7 linked regions of the Rattus norvegicus genome follow. The protein of the gene in region 2 interacts with the protein of the main gene of each other region in a biochemical or structural test. Links are inferred from orthologs where the notes say so. Each region holds a gene or a part of one and is shown on either strand. Other genes may lie near its edges. The genes, in order: Esr1, Med1, Thra, Esr2, Hnf4a, Rara and Vdr.

Evidence for each region.
Region 1: the proteins of Med1 (region 2) and Esr1 form a complex in vitro, tested with the Homo sapiens proteins (6 studies listed by BioGRID). The link is inferred for Rattus norvegicus from reciprocal best matches to the Homo sapiens genes MED1 and ESR1.
Region 3: the proteins of Med1 (region 2) and Thra form a complex in vitro, tested with the Homo sapiens proteins (6 studies listed by BioGRID, with this or other methods). The link is inferred for Rattus norvegicus from reciprocal best matches to the Homo sapiens genes MED1 and THRA.
Region 4: the proteins of Med1 (region 2) and Esr2 form a complex in vitro, tested with the Homo sapiens proteins (2 studies listed by BioGRID). The link is inferred for Rattus norvegicus from reciprocal best matches to the Homo sapiens genes MED1 and ESR2.
Region 5: the proteins of Med1 (region 2) and Hnf4a form a complex in vitro, tested with the Homo sapiens proteins (2 studies listed by BioGRID). The link is inferred for Rattus norvegicus from reciprocal best matches to the Homo sapiens genes MED1 and HNF4A.
Region 6: the proteins of Med1 (region 2) and Rara are reported together in a solved structure, tested with the Homo sapiens proteins (2 studies listed by BioGRID, with this or other methods). The link is inferred for Rattus norvegicus from reciprocal best matches to the Homo sapiens genes MED1 and RARA.
Region 7: the proteins of Med1 (region 2) and Vdr form a complex in vitro, tested with the Homo sapiens proteins (5 studies listed by BioGRID). The link is inferred for Rattus norvegicus from reciprocal best matches to the Homo sapiens genes MED1 and VDR.

What each region holds. Positions count from the first base shown.
Region 1 is NC_086019.1:43,510,250-43,514,867, reverse strand, and holds the start of Esr1 (estrogen receptor), read right to left. Parts: upstream 3,179-4,618; 5' UTR 2,725-3,178; intron 1-2,724.
Region 2 is NC_086028.1:83,682,589-83,687,374, reverse strand, and holds the start of Med1 (mediator of RNA polymerase II transcription subunit 1), read left to right. Parts: upstream 1-1,829; 5' UTR 1,830-2,029; coding exon 2,030-2,054; intron 2,055-2,884; exon of another isoform or gene 2,885-2,959; intron 2,960-4,786. UniProt on the Homo sapiens protein: Component of the Mediator complex, a coactivator involved in the regulated transcription of nearly all RNA polymerase II-dependent genes.
Region 3 is NC_086028.1:84,196,581-84,201,230, forward strand, and holds the start of Thra (thyroid hormone receptor alpha), read left to right. Parts: upstream 1-1,560; 5' UTR 1,561-1,692; intron 1,693-1,872; exon of another isoform or gene 1,873-2,027; intron 2,028-4,650.
Region 4 is NC_086024.1:100,630,960-100,635,002, forward strand, and holds part of Esr2 (estrogen receptor beta), read right to left. Parts: coding exon 3,861-4,043; intron 2,805-3,860; coding exon 2,632-2,804; intron 1-2,631.
Region 5 is NC_086021.1:172,640,091-172,644,767, reverse strand, and holds the start of Hnf4a (hepatocyte nuclear factor 4-alpha), read right to left. Parts: upstream 2,933-4,677; 5' UTR 2,793-2,932; coding exon 2,678-2,792; intron 1-2,677. UniProt on the Homo sapiens protein: Transcriptional regulator which controls the expression of hepatic genes during the transition of endodermal cells to hepatic progenitor cells, facilitating the recruitment of RNA pol II to the promoters of target genes. Activates the transcription of CYP2C38.
Region 6 is NC_086028.1:84,421,028-84,424,975, reverse strand, and holds the end of Rara (retinoic acid receptor alpha), read right to left. Parts: intron 3,818-3,948; coding exon 3,641-3,817; intron 2,826-3,640; coding exon 2,621-2,825; intron 2,231-2,620; coding exon 2,072-2,230; intron 1,333-2,071; coding exon 1,115-1,332; 3' UTR 605-1,114; downstream 1-604. UniProt on the Homo sapiens protein: Receptor for retinoic acid. Retinoic acid receptors bind as heterodimers to their target response elements in response to their ligands, all-trans or 9-cis retinoic acid, and regulate gene expression in various biological processes.
Region 7 is NC_086025.1:130,866,312-130,869,448, reverse strand, and holds the end of Vdr (vitamin D3 receptor), read left to right. Parts: intron 1-184; coding exon 185-301; exon of another isoform or gene 302-1,265; intron 1,266-1,443; coding exon 1,444-1,703; 3' UTR 1,704-2,379; downstream 2,380-3,137.

The sequences.
Region 1 (4,618 bases), on a different chromosome or scaffold from region 2:
GATTGTCCTCTCCTTCCCACCCACCCATCTCCTTGTGATGAGCAGTAGCAAGAAGGTCCTGTGATCCTCTTCACGACAGCAGTGCCATATCCACATCCACTCTCCACAGGGAGACCCCTCCCCCAAAGGGTTGAGAACTGGTGAGTGTGAGAGGGTAAGCCAGATTACACTCCTGAAAACTGTAGTTGAGATAATGGAGTGGCGGCTGTGTCACCAACAAGACTCTTGATTTTTTTTTTTTTTTGCACCAGGAAAGAAAGTGCTTCTCCTACATCGCACGCATCTCACACCACAGAACATCTCACAAGGAGGTTGACACCGCAAGGAAGACATGACACTTTGTCTAACATCCCATCACCACCCGCAGCTCACATGCAAGCTTCATCACACGGCTGGAGGCTGTCTACACACACACACACACACACACACACACACACACACACACACACCCTAGAAAGTCATGCATGAAGTTTTGCTAACCAGAACCCTAACTAGGCTAACCTAGGCTGATGTAGAAGAAGACTATTGAAATGTTGCTAGAGAGACAGAAATCACAGCTATCATAACTATCTTTAGCAAAAGTTACCTGTAAAGTGCTTACCTTTAAAAAGAGCATCAGGGGGTTCAGTGAGATGGCTCAGGGGTAAAGTACTTGCTGAGCAAGCCTGGTGTCCTGAGTTCAATCCCCAGAGCCCATGAGAAGATGGCAGAGAAGTGACTCCACAAAATGTCCTCTGACCTCCACATGTTCACTGTGGAACACACATGCCCCTACACACATATACCTCATGCACACACACACACACACACACACACACACACACACACACACTTTGTTAGGCTCTTTGCAGGAACCTCATAGGTGGTATCACTTTCTCAGTAAACAACAGCCAGTCAACCCAGGCAGAGGTGGATGGACAGGATCACACCTCCTACATGTTTTAGCAGAACAGAGGCATGGTGGTCTCTCTTGTCTGTTTTTCTCTACAGCCTCCCTGTACCCATGGAACAAACTTCAGCTCAACTGTGGCCTCATCTCAAGCACACATTCTGACCAAGTGGACCAAAAGTACAGAGACAGGCAGAGATAACCACCTGTGTTAGCACACACAGCAGGCATCTGGTGGGATGTCTACGGGCTTAGGAGTTTGTATGTCTGAGGACGACGAGAAGCAAGTGGTTCTAAGTCCTAAACTGAGTGAAAGGCTGAAGGAAAGCAAGTTGTCTTATTCTCTTCCTTTACTGTCGTGGGCAACCAAACTGAACAACAACCTTCACGTGTCAAAACAGCACCTCCCACTCATGAATATAACCCTGGCATTCACACTCAATATTTTGCCAATTTTCCTGGTTGCCTTGTCTCTCATCTCTATGTCAGTGTTACTTCTAATTTCTATGACAAAAATCCACCAGTCGCTACAAGACTGGATCCAACCTCTATAGCATTACAGCTGTACAGGGCCTAGAATGGGCCTTCAGGGGCTATTGACAAAATGTGGGCAAACATTTGCCGCCTTTTTTTTTTTGAGAAACAGGAAAGAATTTTAATGAATATAAATAGGTTTCTGATCCCTGAGATGACAGAGGTTCCCACCCTACTGACTTTGTTAAAAAAAAAAAAAGTTCAAATACTTTAAATTGGTACTCCAACATCCGTCCTCTCTGCATACATTATTGTTTCAAATTCAAAACCAAATACATTTCCCATAAACCTTGTGGGTGGAGGTGCTCTGTAAATCTATTAGATTTGGCCCAAGAAGCTAATTTTAAAACATCTGGCACCCTTGAGTGGTACCGCATGTCACGATTGAACATCATCTTAATAAAACCCAACCCTTACATTAGGTTTAAAAAAATTAAAATAAATTTTAACCAGCTAGACTTTTTTGGGCAAGTCAGAGAGAACAAACACTGGCAACTTCTTGGTCAAGCATGAGACTTTCCACTACAGGAAACGGGTGGCTTTCCTGTGGCCAAAATGAAAGTATCCTTTTCTGCCTTTTGTAACTACCACGTCACCGACAAGTGGCACTCGCTCTGTGGCACCGTCCTTAACCCGCATACCACCTTGCCTCAAAAAAAAAAAAAAAAAAAAAAAAAGCAGTTTCCCATGGTTATTTTCAGGTTAGAGAGAACCAAACCCAAACCCACAGGGCTCAGAACTTGCCTACAATTGTAGGGCAACTTCAAGACAAGATGCATTACTAGATTGCGTAGCTTTTCAGAAAACTCGTTTGCCTATTCAGGAAAACAGATGATGGCTTTTTGCAGTCGCTTAGATCAAGCTCACATAAGCTCACGGCACCGAAGATTAAGAAACGAGGTCATGTTGAGACGAGTACAGAGGGAAGTCTGAGCAGGAACTTTTTTAAACTCGCGCACGTTTCAACCATACAGAATCCCCCATAGCTCGACCTGGGACCAATAAATACACGCGATCTGAGGCAGGCAGAGAGAGCCTGTCAGTGCTGCACTACGAACAGATAACTGTGTCTGACTCAGCTGAATGTAGCTCCCAGAGTGAATTTCCATGGGACCAAGGTCAGGTTTAACATGATAACGGTTGCCAGAAACTTTATAAAATATCCCTGGAGCAATGAGCGAGAGAAAAATGGGCATATTTTCACAGAAGTGAACTCTGAGACTCCATCCTGATTGCACACAGTAGCACATTATAGCCGAAAGGGGGGGAAATTGTAAAGAAATGGAGATAAATAGAAGTACCTGCTTTAGAAGAATGTCGCCCAGAGACTGCCTTCTTAGGCTAGACAATGGCAGAGGAGGGGGCATTGGCCTCTCCTGGCGTCACAGGGCTGCTGAGCATGGAGCCTTGTGTTTTCGGTTTTGGTAGAATCCGTTCGGAGGCTGTTATGACCATGAAATTAGGAAATGCAGACTCGGAAGCAAAGAGCTAGCACCACCACTTGACTGGGATTGGAAACTCTGCTCCGGATAATAGGGGAGGGGGTGGCTTTCCTCTCTCCAGCCAGGCCTGATTCCAACTTTCTCAGCGTTTGCCTACAGATAGATGTTTGCAGAGGGACAAGCTTCTGGTGAAGCTAGCTGAGACTTTTTTTTTTTTTTAAAGGTGATCCAACCCATTTTCTCTTTCCTTGCAATAAAGCTCAAAGTCTAGACGAGCATGTTGACTTGGAAAAATAAAATAAGAAAGCGTTCTTTCTGCACACAAATTTTCCTCACCCAAAATTAGCTAAGGGTAATAAGGGTGTTTCTAAGGTGAGCGCTTCTCAGAGTTTCTCTTTCACTCATTGACTCAAAGAGCTAAGCCAGTCGCTCAGCAATTCTTGTCACTGATTAATGGTGTTCCTGATTTTGGAAACTTGCACCAGCTTAGCCCGAGCTAACTCTGAAATCCTTCAGGTGTATGAGCCTTCTATAAACTGCTTGACATTTCCTGATGTGATTTACAAGTCCTGTTTGCTTTGGGGATTTAATCTTGCATTTTGTTTTGTTTTGTTCTGTTTTGTTTTGTTGAGACAAGGTCTCACTCTGCAGTTCAGAGCCTTAAACTCTCAGGATCCCTAAATGCTAAAATTACAGGCATTAGCCAATATGACTGACTTTTTAAAAACTTATTTTGTTTGTTTCTCTTTTCTTTTTTTTTTAAACTCAGAGACAAATTCTCTGAAGTAATAATCTGAGATTAAAAATATATTAAATTTATTTTCCTTTTTGGTACTAGGGATAGGCCCAAAACTTTGATGTGCTAACCAAACACATTACCTCTGATCCACAGACCCTTAATATTTTTAGACCTTTTGAAATTTTAATAGCTCATAAAATCTGTTGTGTTTTATGTAACATGTGCTTTAAATGCTGGGTTGTTGTTTTAATGTCTTGTTGTGGTTTTTTTCTCCTATTCTATAAGTCTGAGAAAGAATGCTTTTCTGGAAATAAGAATGGTAGCAGGCAAAAGACCAGAAGAGACCCCTCTGGTCACTGTCTCAATCCCTATGCATGAACACTGGTGCATGCTGGGTAAGAAAAGCATCTCAGAACTGGCTGGGAAAAGAAAAGACTCCAAATGTCTCATGACTGATGATCTACACATTCATTATAATAAATTGTCGTAGTTGTCTTCGGTTTTCTATACCCTAGTGAGTTTGGCCTCAAAATAATTCAAATACACAAATGTGTCTGAATTTAATTCCCCCAGACCTCACAGAGTGGGATGCGTTTTACTTCTTGTCTGAAATGTTTTATTTCAAATTAAAGAACATTAAACTTAATAAGACTCATTTATAGAAGGAATAATCTTATAGCCTCAGCATGGCAAAGATGGCCCTGGCTTTATTGTTTTTATTATGATTTCCTGTGAGAGGTAAGTGAGTCAACAAAATGTTTTGAATAGTTCAAACATTTTAAAAGCCAAGTGGTTTTTTTCCCTCTAAATTAATTGAATCCCTCTGTTATTTGATTTGCCAGGTTGGATGAATCATGCTTTCAAATAGCATTTAGCTACCTGTTAGAATCAGTTGTACACATCAATCCAGAGAAGAAAATTACCTAAGGCAGGAGTTCTCTAAATAGAACATCCATCAGACTCAGAAGCAAGTGTCGAGTATTGCTTTGTTGTGGAGGGGATGCATATGAATAA
Region 2 (4,786 bases):
CCTATTACAGATGGTTGTAAGCCACCATGTGGTTCTGGGAATTGAACTCAGGACCTCTGGAAGAGCGGTCAGTCCTCTTTTTTTTTTTTTCTTTTCTTTTTTTTTTTTTTTCAGAGCTGGGGACCGAACCCAGGGCCTTGTGCTTGCTAGGCAAGTGCTCTACCACTGAGCTAAAACCCCAACCCCTGCGGTCAGTCCTCTTAACCACTAAGCCATCTCTCCAGCCCACCAAGGCAACTCTTATAAGGACAACAGTTAACTGGGGCTGGCTTACAGGTTCAGAGGTTCATTATTATCCAAGTGTGAGCATGGCAGCATCCAGGCAGACAGAGCTGAGAGGTCTATATCTCCATCTGAAGGCTGCTATCAGAATACTCTCTTCCATAGGGCTAGGTTGAGGGTATTTAAGTCCATCTCCACACCTACTCCACTCCAACAAGGCCATGCCACCCCCCCCACCCCCCACCCCCCACCCCCCAGCTAAATCCCCAAACCCTAAGGCCATACTTCTTTTTTTTTTTTTTTTTTTCTTTCTTTTTTTCGGAGCTGGGGACCGAACCCAGGGCCTTGCGCTTGCTAGGCAAGCGCTCTACCACTGAGCTAAATCCCCCTGAACGCGCCCGATCTCGTCTGATCTCGGAAGCTAAGCAGGGTCGGGCCTGGTTAGTACTTGGATGGAAGGCCATACTTCTTAATGCCACTCCCTGGGCTGAGCAAACATCACACTGGGATAAGCCCACCAAGCTTGGTTTATGTTGTGCTGGGAATCAACACCAGAGTTTCTGCATGCAAAGCAAGCAGCCATAGGAATTACCCCAGTCCCTTCCTTCTTCCGTCCCTTCTTCCCTCCCTCCCTTTTCTTTCTTTCTCTTAAACAACATAACTGCTGCTTGTTCTTCAGGAAATTTCACCTTCCCACTTTCTCTAGGAATTAAACCCAGGACTTCAGGCACATGAAGCATGTGTGCTACTAGTGAGTTGCACGTCTTGTCATATCACAAATCTTACTTTTAGCCCCGAGGCAGGGTTTCTCTGTGCAGTCCTGGCTGTCCAAAAACTCTGTAGACCAGGTTGGCCTCATACTCACAGACAGCCACCTGCCTCTGCCTTCGGAGCGCTGGGAATAAAGGCACGCACCACAGCCAGGCAAACCTGACTGCCTTTGGCATTACGGATACTAAAATTCATTGGAAATCTTTCAGTAGAGAGATTATTTCGTAACGACTGGTTTTCACTATGGAGCTTGAAGTGGCTATGAATTTGCGATCCTCCTTCCTTTTTGGGATTATAGGAATGTGCTACTTCTCCAGGCGTTCAAAGAGCTAACTTTTTCTGTTGTACTTTGTGTTTTGTTTGTTTGTTGGTTTTTTTTTTTTTAAATTTTTTTTCTTTTTTTTTTCCGGAGCTGGGGACCGAACCCAGGGCCTTGCGCTTGCTAGGCAAGTGCTCTACCACTGAGCTAAATTCCCAACCCCTGTTTGTTTTTGATACAGAGTTTCTCTTTGTAGCAGTGGCTGTCCTGGAGCTCACTCTGTAGATCAGGCTGGCCTCGAACTCAGAGATCCACTGCCTACTGAGATAAAAGGCTTGCGCCACCAACGCTGCGCCAAAGAGCTAACGCTTCTAATTTACAAACGTGTATCTGACAAGATGCAAAGTTTCTAAGAGATGTCAACTCTTTCCACGGAAAGGTGTGAAGACTGAGCCAATCGGAGACAGTCCTGTTGGAAATCCCGCGGGAAGGGCGAATCAGCCAATTTCCGCGAGATTTTGGTGCTGTTCCTTCTTCCTCTGCCTGCAGGAACACGATTAATCTCGCGATCTTTGGGAAGTTCCGTTGGGGAAGATGGCGGCGGCCGCGAGCACCCTTCTCTTCTTGCCGCCGGGGACTTCAGACTGAACCTTCCCCGGAAGAGTGGGGGCCGCTGGTGCGCTGCTTCCCCGGAGTCCAGGCTAACTTGGTTCCCCTCTTAGTGGTGGGGAAAGGCTCCCTGGCTTGTGGCGGACCCAAGACCTCACCGCTGTCAGGATGAAGGCTCAGGGGGAAACCGAGGGTGAGTGACTAGGGGGTGGGGGGGAAGAAGGGGCGGGACACAACTGTGGGGAGCCAATCTGTGAGCGGAGGTGGGGACCCACGCCCCCCCCGTCCCCCCAGGGCCACTGTGCACGGAACTGGATCCAGGTGGATCCTGACCGAGCTTTACGGATGTTGGAGCTCCTACACTGAGGCTCCGCTCCGCCTCGCCTCCCCTTGTGAAAGATTTTCTGCAAGACTAGGGACAAGTAGATGAGCTTCAGGTTACTTTCAGCTTAGCCTGGTGGGTTACCAGGAGAGTGAAACTGAAACTTGATGCTTTGTTCCAGGAGAGATCGCTGAAGATGACACTAGAACAATGTGTCAAAGTGATGGAGGATGTTTTGGTGTGAGTGACATGGTGCGGTCTTTATTATAATAAAAGCTAGTAGTTTCTTGGAATGTCATAGTGTTCAAATACTGTGCTGTGTTTTTAAAAACTACTCTTTCAATTGTTCCTGAATAATGGCTTTAAAGCTCGGGGGAAATGTATTCAGAACTATGAACTAGCAGGAACAAAACCCAAACCACTTTCCCAGTTGAAGGAAGAAAAGGGAAGGGATTGAGTCTTTTTTGTTTTCTTTCAAGACAAGGTCTTCCTGCATCAGCCTCCCAAGTGCCAGCTTAACATACCATCATAGCCAGCTAAGAGTTTAAATCTTGGTTTAACTATCCCCCTCCTAACCTTAACTCAGATAGACTGGCTTATCCAAAATGAAGTCTCGACATTTTTAGGAAAGTGGACGATACTCAAAATAAGCTGTATTTAGCTAATACCACATTTTCTCTTATGCGGAATCTCAATTTAAGTATGTGTTGGCGTGGTGTACTGGTTGTCAAAATATGGGACCATGTGAGAAAGAAGGAGATCTTCAGGATAGAAAGGTAAATGGAGTTTGAACTAAATGGAAGCCTTGACTGTTTTGAGGTTGGGGCAGGGGTGGCTGTCAGAGGAAGAAGACTCAGACCCAGTGTAACATCTTACATCTATAAGAATGCCAAAATGATACCCATTGCTTTGTTTGTTAATTTAAAAATAATTTAGAGGCTGCAGATATTAGAGCAAGGTCGTTTGCCCACAGGTTCAATCCCCAGCACCAAAAGAAAAGGAAAAAAGGAGAAAGCAACAAAAATGAATGATGTCATTGTTTTCATACTAAAAACTAATTATAGAAATGCCTAGCTCAAATTGTGCTCAAAATATATCCTTCAAGGTATTGCATCCCTATGTATGCAATTACAAGTTTTTTGTTTGCTTCAGTGGATAGTTTGAACAGAAGCTGGGCATTGCATACCTGTAGTCTCACCACTGAGAAGGTAGAGGCAGGAGGGGCAGGACTTCCCGACTGCCCTTTCCTTCTCAGCAAGTTCAGGCTCATTTAGGCTAAGTAAGACCTTGTCCAGAAAAAAAAAAAAAAAAAAAGGCTGCCAGTCAGTTGGTAAAATGCTTCCTGTGCATACATGAAAACAGGCCTGAATTTGGTCCCCAAGTGGTGATGATTCATGCCTTTAATCCTAGTACTTAGTAGGCAGAGGCAGGGGGATCCCTCAGTTTGAAGCCAGGCAGGTCTACAAAGAGACAGGACAGTCAGAGAAGCTCTGTCTTAACCCCAACCCCCCAAAATAAATAAAAAAGAAGGCGTCTGGGGGCTGGAGAGATGGCTCAGTGGTTAAGAACACTGTCTGTTCTTCCAGAGGTCCTGAGTTCAAATCCCAGCAACCACATGGTGGCTCACAACCATTTATAATGATATCTAGTGCCCTCTTCTGGCCTGCAGGCATACATGTAGGTAGAATGCTGTATACATAATAAAAAGTCTTAAAAAAAAAAGGCGTCTGTTTATAGTGGCATACAGCCATAGGAGGCTAAAGAAAAGGAGACAAGAGATGACTGAGGAGAGTCTGGGCTGTAATGCAAGCCCGGGTAGAGGGACAAGCATGTGGAGGCCACCCCTTATATTTCTGTATTTGGAGGTGGTCTACTGTAGCTACTGTGGGCTCTGGGGCGTGAACCCAGGCTCTCATGTTTGGCATGGGATGCCTCTACTCAGGGAGCCACCTTGTCAGCCTCCAAGGTCATGCTCAGCTAGATGGACTTGGGGGTCAGCGGGGTGGCGAGAGAATGTCTGAAATGAAGGAAAAGCAGGGAGGGGCTGGAGACAGAGCTGGGGAGTTTTTGGCATGGGTTTAGATTTGGCTCCCAGGAAGCACATGCCCACAGGGCAGCTCACAACCATTTGTAGCTTTAGTTTCAGGAGTCTTGGTGCCTTCTAGCCTCCCTGCACAGACGTGTTATACATGCATGAGTCAAAAAACAAACAAAAAACCAAACACACACAACATAAATCTTTTTTTCTTTAAAGAATATGGGTTTCATGTGTGTAGTGGTTTTGTCTTCCTGTATTTCTGTGTACCAAGTATATACCTGGTGCCCTCAGAGTCCAGAAGAGGACAGCAGATTCCCTGGGACTGGATTTACATGTGGCCGTGAGCTGCCATGTGGGTGATGGGACTTGAACCCAGATCCTCTGAAAGAGTAGCTAGTGCTCTTAAAGGATGCGTTAGGCATTGTCAAACAGTACTTTGATGCCATACTTAAGAGGCAGAGGCAGGTGGATCTATTTGTTCAAAGCCACCCTTTTTAGACCCCGTCTAACACCAAACAAAACAACAAAATGCATCTAGGCCTGGAAGGTTCCACGTACTCATAGG
Region 3 (4,650 bases), about 510 kb from region 2:
CCCTCCGTCCCCCCTTCCCATCACCAGTAACCGTAGGCTTCCCCTTCATTTCTTCCTCACCCAGCGTCCCTCCTTTTGTATCAGGAGCCCCACGAGAGAGGCATTCTCCCTTCTCCTCATCCCTTGCAAACCCTTAAAACCTCTTGTACGAGAAGTGACTCCGTTGGCTCAGGGTGTAGGTGGCTGAGACTAGGATGAGCAAGGACAGCCCGACTTGGATAGACTGTTGGTCAGCATCCCACTCAGCAAACGATTCTATCCAGTATGAACGGTTAGAAGAGCAGCTCCCCTGACACACTCTCTGGCTCCTCCCCAAGAGCAGGCTGTGGAGGCAGGGCTCCGCCCTGGGAGCCGTGGGAAGGCTATGGCCCCCGCTGGTAAAACTGGGCTAATGACAGCGGGGGAACCGGCGGGGCCAGAGGGGGGTGCTAGGGTAATTAGACCTCTGCCTGGCGGTAGTAGATCCCGAGATGAAAGGGGCTCTGGCGTCACTGGCAGGATTTTATGTCCATGAATGCAGGTGTGTGTGTGTGTGTGTGTGTGTGTGTGTGTGTGTGTGTGTGTGTGTCTCGCACGTGCGTGCGCGTGCGCGCGCAAGGGTCCGGAACTGGCATGGAGACCTCTCCTTTGAGAAAACGAGTCCACCTTTCTGCAGTCACTCCGCTCCTTAGGTTGGCTCTTGAACCATTTGGTTTTTGATGGTACAAACGGGAGAGGAAATATCACCTCAGTGAAGCTGGGAGATAAGGGGCTGTCTTGTCCTAGCCAGTCTTGTCCGCCCCCATTCCCCAAGCTTGGCATAGGAGTATATTGTTGGGGAAAGGATGGTGGGCAGTGAATAGAAGAGCTTCTATGGAGAACAGAGACGTTTGCAAGAGGAGGCAGTGGATCCAGCATTAATGTTAAAAGACGAGAGAGGAGGCACAATATGGAACCACCCTCCAAAAGGGCTGGAAAATAGGATGGTTGAAGTTAGGAGGATTTCAGAAGTAATCTGTGCAACTCTTGGATTTTGAGCTCTTACCCTGAAAGCTGTAATTCGTTCAAGGTCACACAGGGGAGTTGCTCCGAAAGAAGGGACCCGAACTCTGAAACAAACTACCCTTAGCATTTGGTATCTGGACTTCCTCCCGGATTTATAAGGTGTAGAGATCTCCTCCATCCTTCTCCCCTTACCCCAGGGAACAAACCAGAAACCCCCCCAATTCTCCCCGCGAGTGAAAGCTATTATATCTGAAAATGACATCTTTCTCAAAACGTTTCACCGAGCGTCGCTCCTGGACAGAGCCGCAGGGGGGATGAGGTGGGTGAGTCTGAGCCTGGTAGGGGCCAAGGAGGTAGATGTGCTGCGGGGCGGTAGGCCAGGGTCCCGGGAGCGGCGGGGGGCGAGGGGCGGGGACCGGCGGCTTCTAGGCGGCCTGCAGGGAGCAGCCGCGAGCCGGCCGAACGCGCGGAGCTGGAGCCCCAGCCGGAGCGGGGCGGGGGAGGGAGGAGCCAGAGCGGCCGCCGCCTCTGCCGGAGGAGCCGCGGGGCCGCCACACTCGCCCCCCGCCCCCCCGCGCTCACTCGCACTCACACCCCGGCGCTGGAGGCGGGCGGCCCGGGCCCCACCGGCCCCCCATGGACGCCCCCGGCACGGGGCGCTGAGACCCCCGCGTCCTTGCTCAGCTCGGTCCAGCGCGCCAAGCCGAGGTAAGGAGGAGGGAGCGAGGGGGCATTAATATGCAAATGCATCGCGATTGATTATGCAAAGCCGCGGGTCTCTGGCCAGCTCGGAGGCGGGCTGGGGGCGCCCAGGGGGTTCCCGCCGCCGACCTCAGCCTTTCCCGGCGCCCGGGTGACCCTGTCACAGCCCGAGAGCTAGTCACTTACGCCCTGGGGAAGGAAGGTGCTGTTAAGTGGTCGGTGGGCCCTGGGGTTCGCCCGCGGAGATGGCGTCTGGGCCTCCCCTTCGAGGGCCCGCCCCGGCCTCTGTCCGGCCGGTCTGCTGCGCATTCCCGGGATGGGCCCCGCTGCCTGCCGAAGCTCCCCCGCCCGCCGCGCCGCGCCGCGGTTTGTTTACGGTGTGCCAGAAGCCTGTCGTGTACCCCCCACCCCCACCAAGCCCCCAGCCAAAGAGACCGAATAGCCTTTGCAAAGCTGCCTCTAGCTACGGAGGGCAATGTGGGTGCGGCAGGGTGGGGGGGCTTGCATGGGCTGGGGGAGAGAGAAGCCCCCCTCCCCTCCCCACCTCTCCAGTTGAGCATGGCTTTCTGGTTGCAACACTCCTAATTGCAAAAACGCGGCGGGTGGGGTGGAGTCGGGGGGGGTGGAGTGTGAGCGTGTAGTAGTGGGGGTGTACTTGATGGTCCCTGGATGATTAGAATTGCTGGCCTGTGGTTGGGGAAGAGAGGAAGAAATGGACCCGTGGTGTGTGTGTGTGTGTGTGTGTGTGTGTGTGTGTGTGTGTGTGTGTGTGTGTACACGCGGGCACGCGCGCCTGTGCATGTTTCCCCTGTTTCCCTCCCTTTGCAACGTGTCTCTGATGCCCCTTTTCTGTCTTGGGCCCTCCCTTGTCCAGTGTGAAAAGAAGGCCTGGGAAGATGTCAGAGGCAATGGAGAGAGCCACCCATTTTAGGGACTGGAGGGGGAGCACACAGAAGGAAAGCCAGGGAGATGGGAGCCTGCCCCAGAATGCTGGCTCTGGACCCAAGAGGGGGAGGGGATGAAGGGGGCCATTGTCCAAGATGAAGGGGGAGGCAAAGGTGACATGCAGACACAGATATGCCTACACAGACAGCCACATGCACACTCGGGGACACCCAGGCAGATTCAAGGACAGGAGCTGCTGGACACACCCACATGGGGACAAGGGAAGAGGCAGGCCGCCACTGCATAGTGGAGCTCCTGGGGTGGGACACACCCACGGGAGACCAAGAGCAGAGCGGAGAGACAGCCTATGCACATACCCACGCACAGGTTCACAGGGAGCTGCTGTCACACACCGGGGTAAGGAGGAGTCGCTGTCACCCACACCGAGAAAGTCACTATCGAATGCATGCATGCATGCACACATGGCAATTTGCACACAGCCCCACGACCATAAAAGACTTTATCATTCAGAAGCACACACATGTGCACATGTGCCCAGTCGTGCAGCAGCCATCATTGCTTGCCATGACAGTCACTGTCACTCAGGCAAACAAACAAACAAACAAACCTGAGGCTACACATCAATACATTTGTACACAATTTAGCAACAAGTATTTTCCTGGATTCATCTGTGGAGCTGAGGTTCTGTAGACAATAAAATCCCTGCTACGGAGGAAATCACCTTCATCTGTGTTAAAAGACTTTTCTGCAAAAATGGTGCAAAGCATGCATTCCTGATAAAATAGTTTCATTTCTGTCACTGGCCATACCAGTTACTAGATGGCAGGCTCCTTAAGACATGGGAGAATCTCTAGAAGAGCCTGGATCCCACCCAGAGCCTAGCACAGTATGTGCTCTGTAAACACTTGTTAATTGATTGACTGTGGGAACTCTAGGCACAGGTGCACTTTTTTACACCTAGTCTCACAGGTGCAGGGGCCATGCACAGGGCTCCGACTGAAGTCACAGGTCCCACCTGGCAGTGTCCAGATAACCCTGCAGGTTGACACATTGTAGCTGGGGGCGGGAAGGCGCTTAAATGCACATAATCACAGACTTTTCTCTTTGGCTTCTTTCTATCTTTTAGGCTCTGGCACTGTGTAGCAATGGGCTCCCCCCCTCCGCCCCCTCTTTAGAGGGACAGGGGAAACAAGAGCAAAGTGGGTGCAAGGGGGTTCCAGAGGGCCGAGTCATAGGCCTGCAGCAGTGTCCAGTGACTTCTAGCAGCTGGGTTTGTCCTGGTTGCTGGGGGAGGGGTGTCTGGGGAAGAGTTGGGAGTGGCTCTCTGGCCCTCTCATCCCTAGCCTGTAAGCCAGTGTGGACCTAGCTGCCTCTGCTTGGGGTCATTTGGCTGGGCCTTTCCTGGGGACCCTTAGTTGTCCCCAGCTGAGTGCTAGCCTCCCACTGCGAATCCGCCCCTTTTCTCACCTCTGGCCCTCCTGTCCAAACTTGGAAGCTTTCCTTAGGAGGCCGTAAGCTGGCGAGTGGCTGAGTGAGTGAGGTGTATTTTTGACTTGGAATTTCTCTCTAACTCCGTCTCTCTCTCTCTGTTGCTGTCTTGGGGTGTCTGACTCCTGCTGTTCCTCCGCCAGTTTGTAACGTTCTGTCTTGCCCTGTGCTCCTCTCTGTTTCTGCCACGGCCTCTTTTCTCCAAGCTGGCAACAACATTCTTCATACTTTTCCAGTTGTTAATACTCAGATTCAGGCCCTCTGGCCCGCCCAGCCTTCCTCTGGGGTCAGTAGGAGGTTGGGGGGGGGGCGTGCTCAGCTGGCTGTTCAGGACATCCTGCGCTTCCTCAACGCCACAGCTGTGGCTGGCCAGCAAATTTTGGGGGCTGGGAATGGGGAGGGAAGGGGAATAGGCTACTGCATGTGTTGACCCCTCAAGCTGGCAGGCCCATCCAGCCAACCTTGGTCAATTCAGTGAGAGGACCTTAGGTTCAAGCCACAGCTCTTTAAGGAGCCAGCGAGGAGGCTCCTCCCCTGACTGGACCCAGGCGGGGTCTGAATTAGAACTCG
Region 4 (4,043 bases), on a different chromosome or scaffold from region 2:
GCCAACAAGCTGGCTCAGCCCACAAAACTTACAGCCATGCAGACCTGGGGACCAGAGCTTGCCTCTGGTGTCTATACTCAGACCATGGCATTGACCATATGCACACAGCACGTGCGCACGCATACACACACACACACACACACACACACACACACACACACCCCTATAATAATGAATCCTTTTTAAAATACATATTGGTGTTACAACTACATGTATTCCTGTGTGGTGCTAGAAATTGGACTTGGGTCCTCTGGGAAAGCAGCTAGTACTATTCATCGAGCCGCCTCTCCAGCCCCAGTAAATAATTTTTGTTAGTTTAAGACTAGCTTGGGCTGTGCAGAGTTCTAGGCTACATTGTGAACCCATCTAAAAGAAACAAACAAGCAAAAACCTTTCAAATCTGAATTTCAGAACATCTGAATTGCTCTGATCAGAGGGGAACTAGACCTGGGCCTATAATCTACTGCTCCAGTTATCATAAATAAAAATACTTAATGAATATATTTCACCACTACCACTCCACGAATACCCCCAGTGCACAGAAGCAGAGACAGGATGGAGGAAAAGCTGTAAGGCTAATAAATGAAGAAGCCAGTACCAACAGGTGGCCATCCGTACAGGGTACACTTCAGCGACACACAGAGAGATGGCTCATGCCTCCAGACTCCAGATGTCACCAGTGTTTCTCTCTTGAGGCAAAATGTCCTATTTATCTAGAATTATCAATGGACAAGTTAAATTGTCATTCTCAGTCCGGTACCCCATGTGCTGTTAGTGAGTTGAGAACTTGAACTGAGCGGAAAAGGACCGCTTGAAGCAGAGATTGCCTGAGAGGAAGCTTAGGGGAGAGGACAGAGAGACAGAACAGAGACATGCCAAGGAAGGTCATAAGACAGTGACTTTGGAGTCAGGGAAACACCTCAGTAACTCAGCTGCCGTGGTGCAAGCCTGAGGACTTGAATTCAGAGTCCCAACACCTAGGTAAGCCCATGCTTGCAATCCCAGTGTTGAGCCAGCAAGATTCTGAAAGCTTGTCTTGTCAGCCAGTCCAGCCCAAAGGGCAAGCTCTGGCCCCAAGTGAGAGATGCTGTTCAGAAAATAAAGACAGGGAGTGCTGGAGAGATGCCTCAGTGATTAAGGGCCCTTGTTGCTCTTACAAAGGACTCTGGTTCAATTCCCAGCACCTACCTGGCAGCTCAGAACCATCTGGAACTCCTGTTTCAAGTGATCTGATGGTCTGTTTTGGCCTCCCCGGGCACCAGGCACATATGTGGTACACAGACACACATGGGGCTAAACCCTTAAACACATACAGTAAAGTAATTTTTTTTTAAAGAATTGGTTATTTATTTTAAGTATATGAGTACATTGTAGCTGTCCTCAGACACACCAGAAGAGGGCATCGGATCCCTTGACAGATGGTTGTGAGCCACTATATGGTTGCTGGGAATTGAACTCAGGTCTTCTGGAAGAGCAGTCAGTGCTCTTAACCTCTGAGCCATCTGTCCAGCCCATAAAATGATATTTTAAAAATAAAAATTGAAAGCAATAGAGGAAAATACCAGATGTCTATCTGTGACCTCCACACATATGCATACACACGTGCACACGTGTGCCTACACACACACACCTCTCCACACACATGCACACATGTCTACCTGCACTTCTTTACATACATGTACCCTTCCACACACACAAAAATAAATACCTTTAAAAGAAATAAGTGACTTCAGTACTTCAGGGCTTGTAAGGTAGAGGGGCGCAGGCGAGGGAGAAGTGTCGAGGACAATCAGGCTGGCTAGCCTTGAAGCCAGGTGTGCACAGTTGAAGTTTATTAAAAATATGAGTAAAAAAAACCAACACAGGCTCTGGGGTAAAGGCATTTGTTGCCAACATGAGGGCCTGAATTCGAGCCCCAAGACCCACAAAGTGGAAAGAAAGAACTGACTTCAGCACATCGTCCTTCGATCTTCCACACCTATGCTGTGGCCTACTCATGCCCTCCCCAACACACACAAATTAACAGCAAACACATCATGAACAAGTACACACCAAGTAAGTAACCACCATCAAAGACTCCTGGGAGGGTCAAGGAGACAGTCTGATGTCAGATCAAAACTAGGAGATTGCAATCCGTGAGTCCAAGGACGACATACTTCTCAAAGTCTGCTACAGTTAATTCCTGATCATTTCCATAAATTTTAATTATTCTTTTCCCCTCAGGAGCCAGCCCACCATCATGATACAAGCATAGCCCTATATTAAACATAGGACAAAACGAACAGACAGACAGACAGACATGCTTTGGAGCTCCTGATAAGCACCGATTTTTTTTCCTAGAAGTATCTTTACAAGGTTGTAAATAGATATCTTCTCTCCTTTTCTAAATATCCCCCTTACCTAGTTAGGTAATGTAGGGGCAAACTGACTTCTATAATCTTGAGGTTCTGGGGTAGAAACATGTAATCCAAGCACCCACATACCCTCACTCAACCCATGCCCACACACAAATATTCCAGCTCATGAAGTATAGCAGCCAGGCCAACATGACCATTACATCAGATCATCTGTGCAAAACTCCTTGCAAGCTAAGGTGTGACTACTAAAGAAATGATTATCATACCCTCGTACCTTGAATGCTTCTTTTAAAAAAGGCCTTACATCCTTCACATGACCAAACGCCGTAATGATACCCAGATGCATAATCGCTGCAGACGGCGCAGAAGTGAGCATCCCTCTTTGCGTTTGGACTAGTAACAGGGCTGGCACAACTGCTCCCACTAAGCTTCCTCTTCAGTGTCTCTCTGGTGGGGGGGGGGGAGCAGAGAATATAGCCATTGTCAGAGGATACAAAGGAGAGGGGAGGGGCTTTACAGGAAAAAAATAGCATGAGCTTTGCCAAATTTAATCTCTTTGCCTTCCAGGGCTAGGGATAAATATGTTCCAGGAAACCTGATATCAGATCGCTGGGAGCTCCAGCGTGGGGGTGATTGACATTTGAGAGCCCACCTGGGTGTTGGGGATTTAGCTCAGTGGTAGAGCGCTTGCCTAGGAAGCGCAAGGCCCTGGGTCAGCTCCGGAAAAAAAGAAAAAAAAAAAAAAAAAAAGAGTGAGAGCCCACCTGGTGAGGACAAGTCCTCAGAAGGAAGGCTATAAAGCAGGCACCTCCGGGCTGGGCTGGGAAGAGCCCAGCAGAGAGGCAGCAGGGACAGCTGCACACTCTGCCCAGGGGCTGATTTTACCAGGATTTGTTTCTTTTGGGGAGAGAGATAGTAAATCTATTGCTAGTCTAGAAATGATGAAAAGACATTTCACCCTTTAAAGAGGGGTGAGTTAAGAGCACTCGTCTTAAGACAGGACTCACAGTTTTTATATTTGTTTCTCCTACCAATAAATGAAAAGATTACGAAGAAAAAATAATTGTGTATTTTCTTAAAGGTTGTTTTGGTTCAGTTTGGGGCTCAGAGATGCTAGGTTTTGGGGTGCTGCGGGTTAGACCCAGAGTCCCAAGGATGTTAAACATGCCTCTAGCTCTGAGGTGGGCCCTCTGGCTCCTGGCTCCTCTAACACGGGAAATATTGTTATAAACAAAACATTTAAAACCCAACACCTTTGCCCAAATCAAACTGATGTTAAGTTTTATGTTGCATAAAGAGACTATCCATTATGGTGAACTCTCTTCATAGTGTTCATCCATAAGCACAACTTTTTGAGAACTGGAACATCAGAGTAGGACAGAGCAACATGTGTCCAGTATCCTAAGAATGTAGGTGGCCAAGTAAAAACCTTTACTTACGTCTTCCTTCGTACTAACCTGCAAAGAGAGGAGCATGCCACCACCCATGATTTACAAGACTTACCTGTTTACAGGTAAGGTGTGCTCTAGTGATCTTGCTTCACACCAAGGACTCTTTTGAGGTTCTGCATAGAGGAGCGATGATTGGCAATGGGTCGCTAAAGGAGACAGGTGCCCAGAAGTTGGCCATAGCACATTTGGGCTTGTGCTCTGTCGGACAGGCCCACCGTCCAGGTTACTGGTGCTG
Region 5 (4,677 bases), on a different chromosome or scaffold from region 2:
ATTAAACTCTTCTCGGCAGCCGAGAACTCCCTCAGCAGGCGTCTTGTATCTGTTCCTCATTTCTGCTGTCTTCTCGCTGAACCGTTCCTAGGACTTCTGAGTGTTCAGAGCGGAGCCCCCTCCGGCTGGTGAATTATTCCCAAGGCAGGGATAATTGTTAAACTTCATTGGCTCTTTCTCCCTTGTCCTCTCCTCTCTTGACCCCCGGGGAGAGCTGAGCCCGCAACTTGGGCAGAGGACGGCAAGCTGTCCCCTTGATGGGCAGCACGGACTAGGTACAGCCAACTGGATCAACTCCCCCTGAGGTCAGCAGGTCACTTCCATTTCCCAGTTAGGAACACCGAGACTCGAAGAGAACAAGGGACTTGTCCAGTATCATTACACTGCTGCCAGTCAGAGGGGCTGGGCCTATGGGTTAATATACTGTGCTCTCTAGCCATGTTGCCCATGCCTGGAGATCTGTGGGGACCCTTCTGCTCTCTGTGAAGTGGGGATGGATTGTGGGAACAGATATCCTTAGCACTTCTAGCCATTAGCTCAGGATGGACCCCAATCCCTTTGGAGGACAGCCTCCTATAACCTCAACTCTCAGACCTCTGTGAACTCCAGAAGGGCATATGACCAACATATGCCGACATATGCCAAGTCCTGGAGACCACCCATGGAGGGATCAAGCAAGCACAAGGAAAGACCTTGTAAACCTTATATGCCGTTCAATCTATCCAAGTTTTACAGATGAAGAAACTGAGACTGGGGAGGAAGGGTTTTTCCAGAGCTGGGGGTGACTGATGTGTCCTCAGGACATTTAATCAAGGGCTCGGCCTCGGGTACAGGAACACAGAACTCTCAGACACTGAAGGGGCTGTGTGGTGGCCAGGAGTGTGACAAGTACTGTCCTCCCTGGGGGTGGGGGTTGGGGGTGTCACGTGCTACCACCTCGGGGCAGAAGCAACTTGTTCACCCTAAACACTTCTCTGAGTACCTCCTCTGAATCGCCCATGGCCAACAAGGCTGGGGTAAAGGAACCCATTTCCATACTGCATAAGAGGCGAAAGAGGTAACATACAGGAGGTCACACAGTACTAGGGGCAAGCGGCGGGGGTGGGGGATGGGGAGGACTGACCATGGACAGAGCCCACGCTGCCTCCTCCTTCTGGCTAGATCAAGAGTGCACAGTTTTCCAGACCTAAGCCTTGAAACCCAAAAGCTGTGTCGTGGAGTCATAGAAGGAAAGTGGTGGCAGGGCCAGCCTCAGCCAGGTGCCATCTCCCCAGTGCTAGCCCGGAACCTGGTCCCATCCCTTCCAGAAGCTTCTCATCCTCCAGAAGTGGCAAAGGAAACACCCTCCCCCCACCCAACCCCCACGGACATATTCTCGGTGATATTGGAACAGGTGCTTGAATGATGGTGACACAGGGACAACAGACACAGACACACATGCTGCTGCCGGGAATCCTAAGTTTTGGAATACAGTTACGGTTAAGACCCTCACAACATAACCATGGTGTTTTGGGAATCTGGGTCAGAGGACCTCAAGTTCCAGGCTAGACATGGGAGTATGTTCTAACTTTCAGGCCAGCTCAGGAATGCATACTCTCTGTATAAAAAACAAAAACAAAAACAAAAACGAAACAAACAGAACCAAGCTGGACCCGGTGGGTGCATGCCTTTAATCTTAGCACCTGGGAGGCAAAGGCAGGTGGAACTCTCAGTTTGAGGATAACCTGGTCTACGTAGTGAGTTTTAGGACAACTAGAGCTATGTAGAAACCCTATCTCAAAAATATATATATAACAAACAAACAAAAAGCCCTGTCCAATGGCGCTACACAATCCTGTACAACAGAGAGCGGTGCCCAGTAGCACAGGGGCTGTATGGACATGTGCTAAGAAAACATGCCATCCAGAGTCACCAGGCCAAAAGCACAGGGTATGCCCTCATTTACAAGCGTGTCCACTCTGTCACCCACATTTACAGATACTAGACATACATATATTCAAGCCAAACAAAAAAAAAAAAAAAAAAAAAAAACGAAATGAAACAAAAACCAAATGGTCCTGGAGACAGAACTACAGACCATTTGATACATACAAATGAAGCCGGGACACAAACTCGAAAAGGGGATCAGACACACAGCTGTATTCCGGCATTTGCCACGCCACATACAAGGACACCTAGGACCGACCATGTAAACACCACTGTATTGGCCTTTTAGCTGGGAAGTCTGAAAAGCCTACTTTTCTCCTGAAGTCCAGTTTCCCAAAGTCTGAAATGTAGACATGCCTCCTGTCACAATCTCTAGAGACAAGACAGACCTTTTGTTGCTTACACAGAAAAGGGCCCGGGGACCTGGAAGATAGGGCCATGTTGGATAGGATTGCGGTAGCCACCCAGAGGAAGCTCACGATCATGGCCCCATTTCCTGGTAAGCAGGGCAGCGTAAGACCCCGGGGCCTAGGTAGGGAGGATCTTGGGAAATTTTCTGTTGGAAATCCACCTCTGTAGGTCTCGGTCACCCAGAATATCTCTGGCCACAGTACAAAGGCCCACTTGCTTCACCTGACAACACCTGTACGAGTCTATAGGGCCAACCTACAGTTTTCTGTATCTCCCCTCCCATCCCAAAGTCCAGTGCCAAAGATCCGTTCCATACCTGGGCATGATTGCCCCCACCTACCATTGCCCATGGTCAACACCTGCACATTTTCAAACTCCAGGGTGGTGTAGGCTGGGTCCAAGGCAGCACTGTAGTCAGCCATGTCCATGTCGGCGAGGGTTTTAGAGAGTCGCATTCTCCTCTACCCACCCCTCAGCCCCCTGTCCTGCCCTGCCCAGGATGCTACCCAAGCCCCTGGGCTGAGCCCCAGCCCCTCCGTCCCCGCCCTCCTCCTGCCTCCTCCCAGGTCCCTTCTCTGCCTTCCTCTGTTTCAAACTGTCCTCTGGGAGATTCAGCCTGGCGTCCTGGCCTAGCCTCTGCAGAGGGTGGAGGCTCTGTGGGGAGGGGTGGGAGTTAATGGTTAATCACCCCCGTTGCCGGGTAGTCTGGGCGGAGTCACAGGGATTTGGCTGTTTGTTGGTTTCTGACTGACACCTGGGGTGCTAAATTACAACTGTTGGGCCCCCACTCATTAATATTCAGTTTCCAATCTTCCAAGACAGGCACCGAACAAGACTGGCACTTGTTGGACCATCGCTTCAGCAGCCCCCAAGTCCTACCAAGTTGGACATCCCAGCTGACGTTCTTGGACACTGAACAAGTCTACCACCATGAAACCCTAAACCAACCACTTCTCAAATCATTGACTTCCATCCTCAATTTGAGATAAAGCGGTCCTGGGTCGCTTGAATTAGAAACCTAATCCCCAAGCCCACACTTGGGTCTTTTGGATCCTTGCTGAGGAGAATTCTTCTGGTTCCCTTGTGGTTTGTCAGCTGTCTTTGAGAACCACTGGGACTCACCTTCAAGTCTCTTCCCTAGCCCCTGATAGCTCCTGGTTGCTCCAGCTGGACCAGACGTCATGGAGGGCTCTCTGTCACACCGAATGCTTCCACAGCACCTACCCCTCCCAGGATAGGCACAGACAAGATCTGCAGCCCTTGCCACCTGCTTATTGTGACTCTTTCCAAGCCTCAGTTTCCATCTCATAAAATGTACAGGGCCATCAGAAAGGGTAGTTTGGGTAATTCCTAAGATATAAAAATAACTGCCCAGGTGCACTGGCTAACCCCCAAACTCCAAGTCATCATTTTGTTCTGCGGTGTAGCCCAGGTTGGACTCAAATTCTTGACACTCCAGCCTTCCAAGATCTGGAATTACCAGGACTGTGCCACCATGCCTAATACCTGTTCTCATTTTGGGTCTCCACCTTCCCCTTTGCCTCCCTGTTTTTTTCTGTCCACCTCTTCCCTTTGGGGCAGGATTCTCTGCATGCCTTAACACTCATTCCACCCTTTTAAAGTTTGTTGGGTTTTTTAGATTAAAAATACACTATACGTAGGAGTTTTGCTTGCACGTATGTCTGTGCACCACATGCATGCCTGGATCTAGGGAGGCCAGAAGAGGGATTTGGATTCCCTGGAACTGGAATTACAGACAGTTGTGAACTGCCATATAAGTGCTGGGAATTAAACTCTGGTCCTCTGGAAGAGCAGCCAGTGTTCTTAACCACTGAGCCATCTTTACTTTTCTTTTAATGTTCATTTCATTGTCTACACCTTTTAAGGGGTTTAACCCTGGACCTGGAGCACCTGTCCTTTTGTGCAGTCCCTCTCTGTGTCCTTCTCTGCTGACACTTTTGAGATTCCCACTAGCTGAGGAGAGAGAGTCACAGATGGTCGAGTGTGAGGGCAGGATCTGAGAAAACTTCAGTGCCTGTCTTGCTCAGCTAGTCGAAAGATCAATTCAGAGGGCATGGTAACAACACAGAGCAATAATGAGAAACAGAGTCTGCCTTGGAGAGAGTGAATGAACCAGAAAACCGAGTGACTAGGAGGCCAGGTGAATTACTGAGTGAATGACTGAAACTCATGGGTATGTAAAAGGGCAACTGGATGAGTGAATGAATGAATGAATGAATAAGTGAATGAGTGAATAGATGAGTGAAGGAATGAATGAATGAGTGAATGAATGAGTGAGCAAATGAATGAATGAGCGAGTGAACTAATGAATGAACTAGT
Region 6 (3,948 bases), about 740 kb from region 2:
GCTGAGGGGTTAGGGGTAGGCTGGGGGGAATTGGAGGAACTCAGGCCAGAGGTGTGTGTGTGTATGTGTGTGTTTGTGTGTGTGTGTGTGTCCACGCATGAGTACATGCGCATGTGTGTTGGAGGGCCCCATGGGGTGCTGGTGGCTATGAGGCTGGGGGCTGGGGTAAACTTGGACCCCTTAGCCGGCCCCTTCACAGTGGGGCTGGGGCTTGGATGAAGTGAGCTCTGACGGGCAGTGAGGAGTAACAGCCTACTCATCCCAGGGGCCCTAGCTTCACCCTTACCCTGCTTCTTGGTGAGTAAGGAGACAAGCCAAAAGCCAGGATCTCCTCCTCCCAGGGGTAGCTGCCCAAGATGCCCACACCCAGTGGCTAGGCAAAGGGAGGAGGGAGCTGCTTTCCTGCACAGGGTAGGGAAGGTGGCCTTGGAAAGTTAGTTTTTCACAGTATTAGAGAAAACTGAGGAGAAAAGACTGGAGGTGGGAGCATCCGCTCGGACATCAGGGGAGAGGGGAGCCCTTCTGAGCCCTGCCCATCCCCAGGGCCCACCCCCTTCAGCTCTAGATCCAGCTCCCCCAATACACAGCACAAATTCCTTCAGTATAAATGTGCTTAAAATGAAAATTCTTATTAAAAAAAAACAAAACAAAAAAAATTAAAATAAAAACAAAACCATCGAGAATTAATATCTGGGGGTTGGTACGCAGGATATGTACAGGGGGTCTCCCCCACCCTGGGCATCTTCTGTCACCATCCGAAGCAGGGGGAAGTTCCCCAACTGGGGGGTGATGGCTTGAGTTCGGAGGACAGGGAGCCAGGCCCTGGTGTTTGCTGGTGATGAAGACATGGCAAGCTGGGTGAGGGCTCAGGCCCAGGTCCTCACGTGGCTCAATGCCTGGCCCCTGATGCCAGCCCAGGCTGCCAGGAGAGAGCAGTCCATCTCAGGGTCCAGGCCTCTGTCCACAGAGTCACTGCCTTCTCCCTCCTGTCCCCCCTGGAAGGTCCCCAGTTCTGTCCGGAAGGACAAGCAGGGCTGGGCTGATAGGTCACATGGCCAGTAGGAAGGCAGAGAAAGCCAGGGCAGGGGTGAGGGCTGTCCATGTGTCGAGGTGGTCATGGGGATTGAGTGGCTGGGCTGCTTCTGTGGGAGCTGGGACTGAGGCTGGGGCTACAGCTACCCGGAGGAGGGGCCAGGCCACCCCCATCTCGTGTTCCGCCCCCCGACTGTCCGCTTAGAGTGTCCAAGCCCTCAGAGTTCTCCAACATTTCCTGGATAAGTGGTGGCATGGAACCAGGGATCTCCATCTTCAATGTGATCACCCGTTCAGCTCCTGTGGGGGAGGAGGGGGAGGTCAGAGAGCCAGACCAGAAGGGGAGGGTCACGGGGCGAGGGGACCAGTACCACCCACGTGGGCATCTACCGCACATTGCACCTGGGGGCTCAGTTACTTGACATAGGCCAGCTCTCCTGAGCCCCCAGTGTGGAGACTGGGTGAAACATTGTGAATTCAGGCTTCTTGTTTAGGTTTGGCCCCAATGCCCCGTGTCAAGGGTTATCCAGCAGACGCTTCCAAACATTATCATCCCCCCACCGACACACACACACACAGGAAACAGGCTCAGAGCTGGCAAACGCCCTTTCCACAGACTACACCCACACAGCTTATTATAGAGGCTTGTCTTAAAGTGGAAAAGTGACAACTAGAGAGCCACGGCTTAAGACAGATGGGGACATGCCGATTAGGAAGACACCGTGTAGACACCAAGACATGAGGGACCAGCTTGACTGTGGACAGCAGGTCCCAGGCCAGTCCTGGGTGGGCCTCCCTCTAGGTCCATAGTTCTCAGCCTTCCTAATGCTGCAACCCTTTTAATACACAAGTTCCTCCGGCGGCGGCGACCCCAACCATAAAATCATTCCATTGCTACTTCAAATCTGTTACTGTTATGAGCCCTCATGTGAATGTCTGACATGAGACTCGCTGTGAGTCATGTAACCCCCGAGGGTTCGTGACCCCCCCACCCATGCTAGAAACCACTGCCCTAGGTGAAGGCCACCAGGAGACTCACCCTTGGCGCTGATACTCCGAAGGTCCGTGATCTTCATCAGCATCTTGGGGAACATGTGGGGTCGGCTGGGCCTCCGTTTCCGGACATAGACTTTCAGTGCTTCCAACAGCGGCTCCTGCAGCATGTCCACCTTGTCTGGCTGCTCCAGGTCCTGTCGGTCTGAGCACAAAACTGTCCCTGAGCAAGAGCCCCAGCCCCAGTCCCAGCCCCAGCCAACTCCACCGACCAGGAATACAGTTGCATTCCCAGATATGGCCACTTGGGGGCGGTGTGCCCAAGCCACAGAGGGCAGAAGGCTGCTCCCACACACCTGGCCAGGAAGGGTCTCTGGGCTCGTAGGCAAGAGATATACTTTATACTCTAAAACAAGAGTGGGGTGTGGGCTTCTCAAAGCTCTCCGTAGCAGCTGTGTTGGTGGATATGGAAACCCCTGCCCCAATGCGGGCGGCTCCCCTCACAGAAAGCAGGGGATTCCCAGCAGGTCTCCCCTGCCACCATCATCACTACAGCAGGGTGACGCCTCCTGAGAGCCACCTGCGCCTCACCCACCTCCACAGATGAGGCAGATGGCACTGAGCAGTCCGGTCTCAGCATCGTCCATCTCCAGGGGCAGCAGCTGGTTGGCGAAGGCAAAGACCAAGTCGGTGAGGGGGCCAAAGCCAGCGTTGTGCATCTGAGTCCGGTTCAGGGTCAGTCCATCTGAGAAGGTCATTGTGTCTTGCTCAGGTGTGTACCGCGTGCAGATTCGCAGAATCTGGGTGCAGAGGATGTATACGGGTTCAGAGGCTGGAGCGCCCCCAAGTCCTGCCCCAGCCCCTGGCACACCAGCTCCAGCATCCCCCGGAGGCCTCTCTCTCCCTGGCAAGCAGCCAGAGAGCATGGCTGTCTGACAAGAATTTTCTCCAGTGATGGAAAGGTTCTGTCTGCAGCATCCGAGACGGTAGCCACCGGCCCCATGTGGCTGCTGAACACTCGAGATGTGGCTAATGCAACCGGGAGACTGAACTGAGTCTGATTGTAATTAAATTTAAATAGACGCGCATGCGTATCCAGGAGATTGCTCTGGCCAGCAGATCTAGGCCATGCTGCCTTCGTATAGAGAAATCAGGAGGGAAAGGAGTTTCCAGCCAGCAAGAAACAAGGCAGATCTGTTCCTAGGACCATCCCATTCAGCTTCAACACTTTGTGCCAATGGCGCCTCCCACATCTGTGCACTGGGGACCGGGCACATGACACCCTCCCCTTCCCAGCAGACCTGTCCGTGCCTCTAGTTCTCTACCTACGATGTGTCTGGAAGACATTACCGGGAGTCCTACTCTTAGCCTTCACTCGGACAATTCTTACTACATCCGGCATCCACAACTCAGGCTACCAAACGCTCCAGCACTGTGTCCCAGCAGCAGGCCCCTCTACTTCCTGCTCCCAGGAATGGCCACCTTCCCGTGATACAGCTAGGTGGACAGGAGCCCACAGTGGACTCCGGGAAAGCATCAGAAAGTGACTGCCTGGCTGGGAACAGACCCTACAGGGGCAGGGACCCGGGGTTGAAGAACAGGGGCGGACTCTCACCAGGATGTCCAGGCAGGCAGCCTTGAGAAGGGTAATCTGGTCGGCAATGGTGAGGGTGGTGAAGCCGGGAAGCTGCTTGGCGAACTCCACAGTCTTAATGATACACTTGGTGGAGAGTTCACTGAACTTGTCCCAGAGGTCAATGTCCAGAGAGACACGTTGTTCTGAGCTGTTGTTCTGGGGGAGGCAGGGAGAGTAAGGGCCTCAGCTACGACACCCGCTTCAGCCTGGCCCCTGCCTGCCCTCCACCCAGCCTACACTTCCTGACAGTGTAGGACACAGAGGGAGGATAGCAGAGGAGGGCCTGG
Region 7 (3,137 bases), on a different chromosome or scaffold from region 2:
GTCCTCCTATACTTCCTCCAGCTCCCAGACTCTACCTCTATCCTGGCACTGGACCTCTGGGGGTTTGACCAGATACGGGGAAGGGGAGTGGGCAGCAAGAGAGAGGAGGGAAGGGGTAATGCCCAGGGGGGGTTTCAGGTAGGGGTGAATGTCTCTACCTGACCCTGGCTGCTCTCTTTCACAGCTGGGCACACCCTGGAGCTGATCGAGCCCCTCATAAAGTTCCAGGTGGGGCTGAAGAAGCTGAACTTACATGAGGAAGAGCATGTCCTTCTCATGGCCATCTGCATTGTCTCCCCGGGTACGGAGCCTGGCAGGGAGGAGCTGAGGGACCTGGGACACGTTGGGGACTGTGAATGACAGAGAGCTTCTCAGAGCCAGCAGGGAAGTCTGGGGGAGGAATGAACGAGAGAAGTGACAAGGAAATGTTCACTTTGCTGGGTTTGCACAGCCCAGAAGGCCTGTGGAGGGGTCGCTTGACACATGTGGCTTTGTCTTATGCAGGCCAAGGTGATTCATAGGATTCTGAGGAACCAGATGAGCAGGGTTCCACAGCTTATTCATGGGACTTGGGTGTTCCTAATACTCAGGCTCTGTTCTTGCGTGACCTCGGATGAACTTTCCAGTCTCCTGAGTTCCTCCGATGCAGGCACAAATCCTTGGGGACTAATATATGCTTCTGCCTGAGTTGACTTTGGAGGCTGGAGGCTGTAACCCAAAGGGAGGAGACACTGAGAAGGAAGTTGTTGTGATCTTGAAGAAATTGGTGATAAAACCCAAAGAACAGAGCCCTGACTCAGCCTGGACCATGTGTGCACAGGGGACAAACTAGTGGCCTATGGCCAGGAATGCCTAGTCTGAAGGCCCAAAGGACAGACATATGCCTCCCTCCTGCTGTCTAGCTGACGTGTGTTCACTTATTCACACGCTCAGTAATGATTAACTGAGCATCTACTATGGCCAGACACTGGGCTAGGCACAGGGAGTTGCAGTAAAAAGGATAGACTTCTCTCCCATGAGAGTTAAAGGAAAACAAAATATTACGAGAATGTTGAATATGAAGATGCTGCCGGAGAGATCCTGGTATAGGTCACGGGGGCGTGGAGATGGAGGGTTACCAGGAACGACCTTCTTCAGAAAGCGCTTTGCGCCTGTTCCGTGATAACCGGTTGGTCAGGGGGGAAAGACGAGAGCTGATTTCCAGGCAACGGGGAGGTCTGTTAGCCAGAGTAGGAAGTACCTGAGTTCCAAAGCAAGGACTGAACCTAGAGACAGAAGAAGTAGGGTGAGGTGGGAACAGGACCAAATGAGCCCGCGAAAGGATTTGGTCCCAAATGCAGGGGATGTCATCAGGGGGATGCTGGCATGGGGTACCTGGGTGATGGTGGATTCTGTGAAACTGAACAGTGAACATCCTGTCTCCCTCCATCCCCTGGGACACAGACCGACCTGGGGTCCAGGACGCCAAGCTGGTGGAAGCCATTCAGGACCGCCTATCCAACACGCTGCAGACCTACATCCGCTGCCGCCACCCGCCCCCAGGCAGCCACCAGCTCTATGCCAAGATGATCCAGAAACTGGCCGACCTGCGGAGCCTCAACGAGGAACACTCCAAACAATACCGCTCCCTCTCCTTCCAGCCCGAGAATAGCATGAAGCTCACACCCCTTGTGCTGGAGGTGTTCGGCAATGAGATCTCCTGACCAGGGTGGCCCACAGTGGTGCCTGGGTAGGGCCGCTCCTCCAGAGCCCTGTGCCCAGGCCCTGGGCTGGTTGCAGCCCAGCAGTGCCTCCTGCCCTTTCTGGAGTTCAGTCCTTCCTCTGCCATGGCCTCTGTCTGTCTGCCTCATCCTTTCTCCTGCCCAGCCTAACACCTGGTCTCCCTTTCCTGTAGACCTCGAGTTGCTCCTGTCTCTTGAGACCTCAGTTAGGAGAGGCTGCTGTTTATCTGACAAAGGAACTCAATTGGGGATAGAGGGCAGGGGCTGAAGGCAGAACTCTGCCTAGGGGATGCCTCCACCACAAGGGGCTGCTGCTTGTGTCAAGGGAGGCAGGCAGAAGAGACGCATTCACTCCTCAGGGACAGGTACCTGCACCTCCCCTCACTCCAGCCCTACCTGCCCAAAGCCTGGTGAGAAATCTGGCCCCTGCCTGCGAAGGGTACACAACCTACCCATCATCCCTACTGTGTCCCGTCTCATCCTGCCGCCTGTCTGTGTTATTCTGACCCGGGGGAGTAGGTCACTGAGGGGCCTCCTTCCTCTGCCTTTATACTCACGGGGCTCACTCACTGCCAAGATGACCAAATACACTACCACACGAACCAAGGAGCACTCACCCAGCCCTGCAGTTCCCACCTTTGAGGTTTTGCCATGGGAATTCCCCAGGGCCAGTACCTGTGGTACAGGGGGCTTCTTCCCCATGCCCAGAACCAGGGACCTAGAAACCACCATTGGAAAGGCCCCAGGAGATAGAATACAGGGCCCAAGTAATGAAGAACAGAGAAAGTCAGCCTCCCAGCAGAACAATGAATGAAGGTCCATCTATCTTGGTCATCAAGCTGAGGGTTCTGAAGCCTGGAGCTGTTGGGACCTCTCCTCTATAGCTATTAGATGTGTCAGGACCAAGTTGTCCCCAACTTTCAGGAAATCCATAGCCCTGTCTCCATCCCTTACCCCGCCAGTGTTTTACCACCTACCCAAGAAAGCAGGTCCTCTGGCCTCACACGACCTCCCAATTTGACCACCAGGAGTATCCCGGGAGTCATCTTGGCAGCAGTGCCCCCCACACACACACACACCAATGAGAGCTACCTTGTCCGCCCAATAGAATGGGATGGGAGAAGACCAACAGCTGCCCAAATGGGCCTCCGAGCCTCCTTTCCAGATGTAAGGCCAGATACAAATGCTCCCCCCTCAGGGGAAAGGTGGAGGGATGGTCAGAGCTTGTGGTACAGTGATCTGGGGCCGGTTCCTCCTGACTCTCATTCTACCACCCAAAAAGTCAATGTAGGCCTACGAAATGGCCAGGTGATGGGCTAGGTTCTTATCTTTAATTTCTTCCTCTGTAGCAATCCAGGACTTTGGAACCCTGGTCTCACTCACCCCAAATACACACATTGCTGATCATGGGTTGTG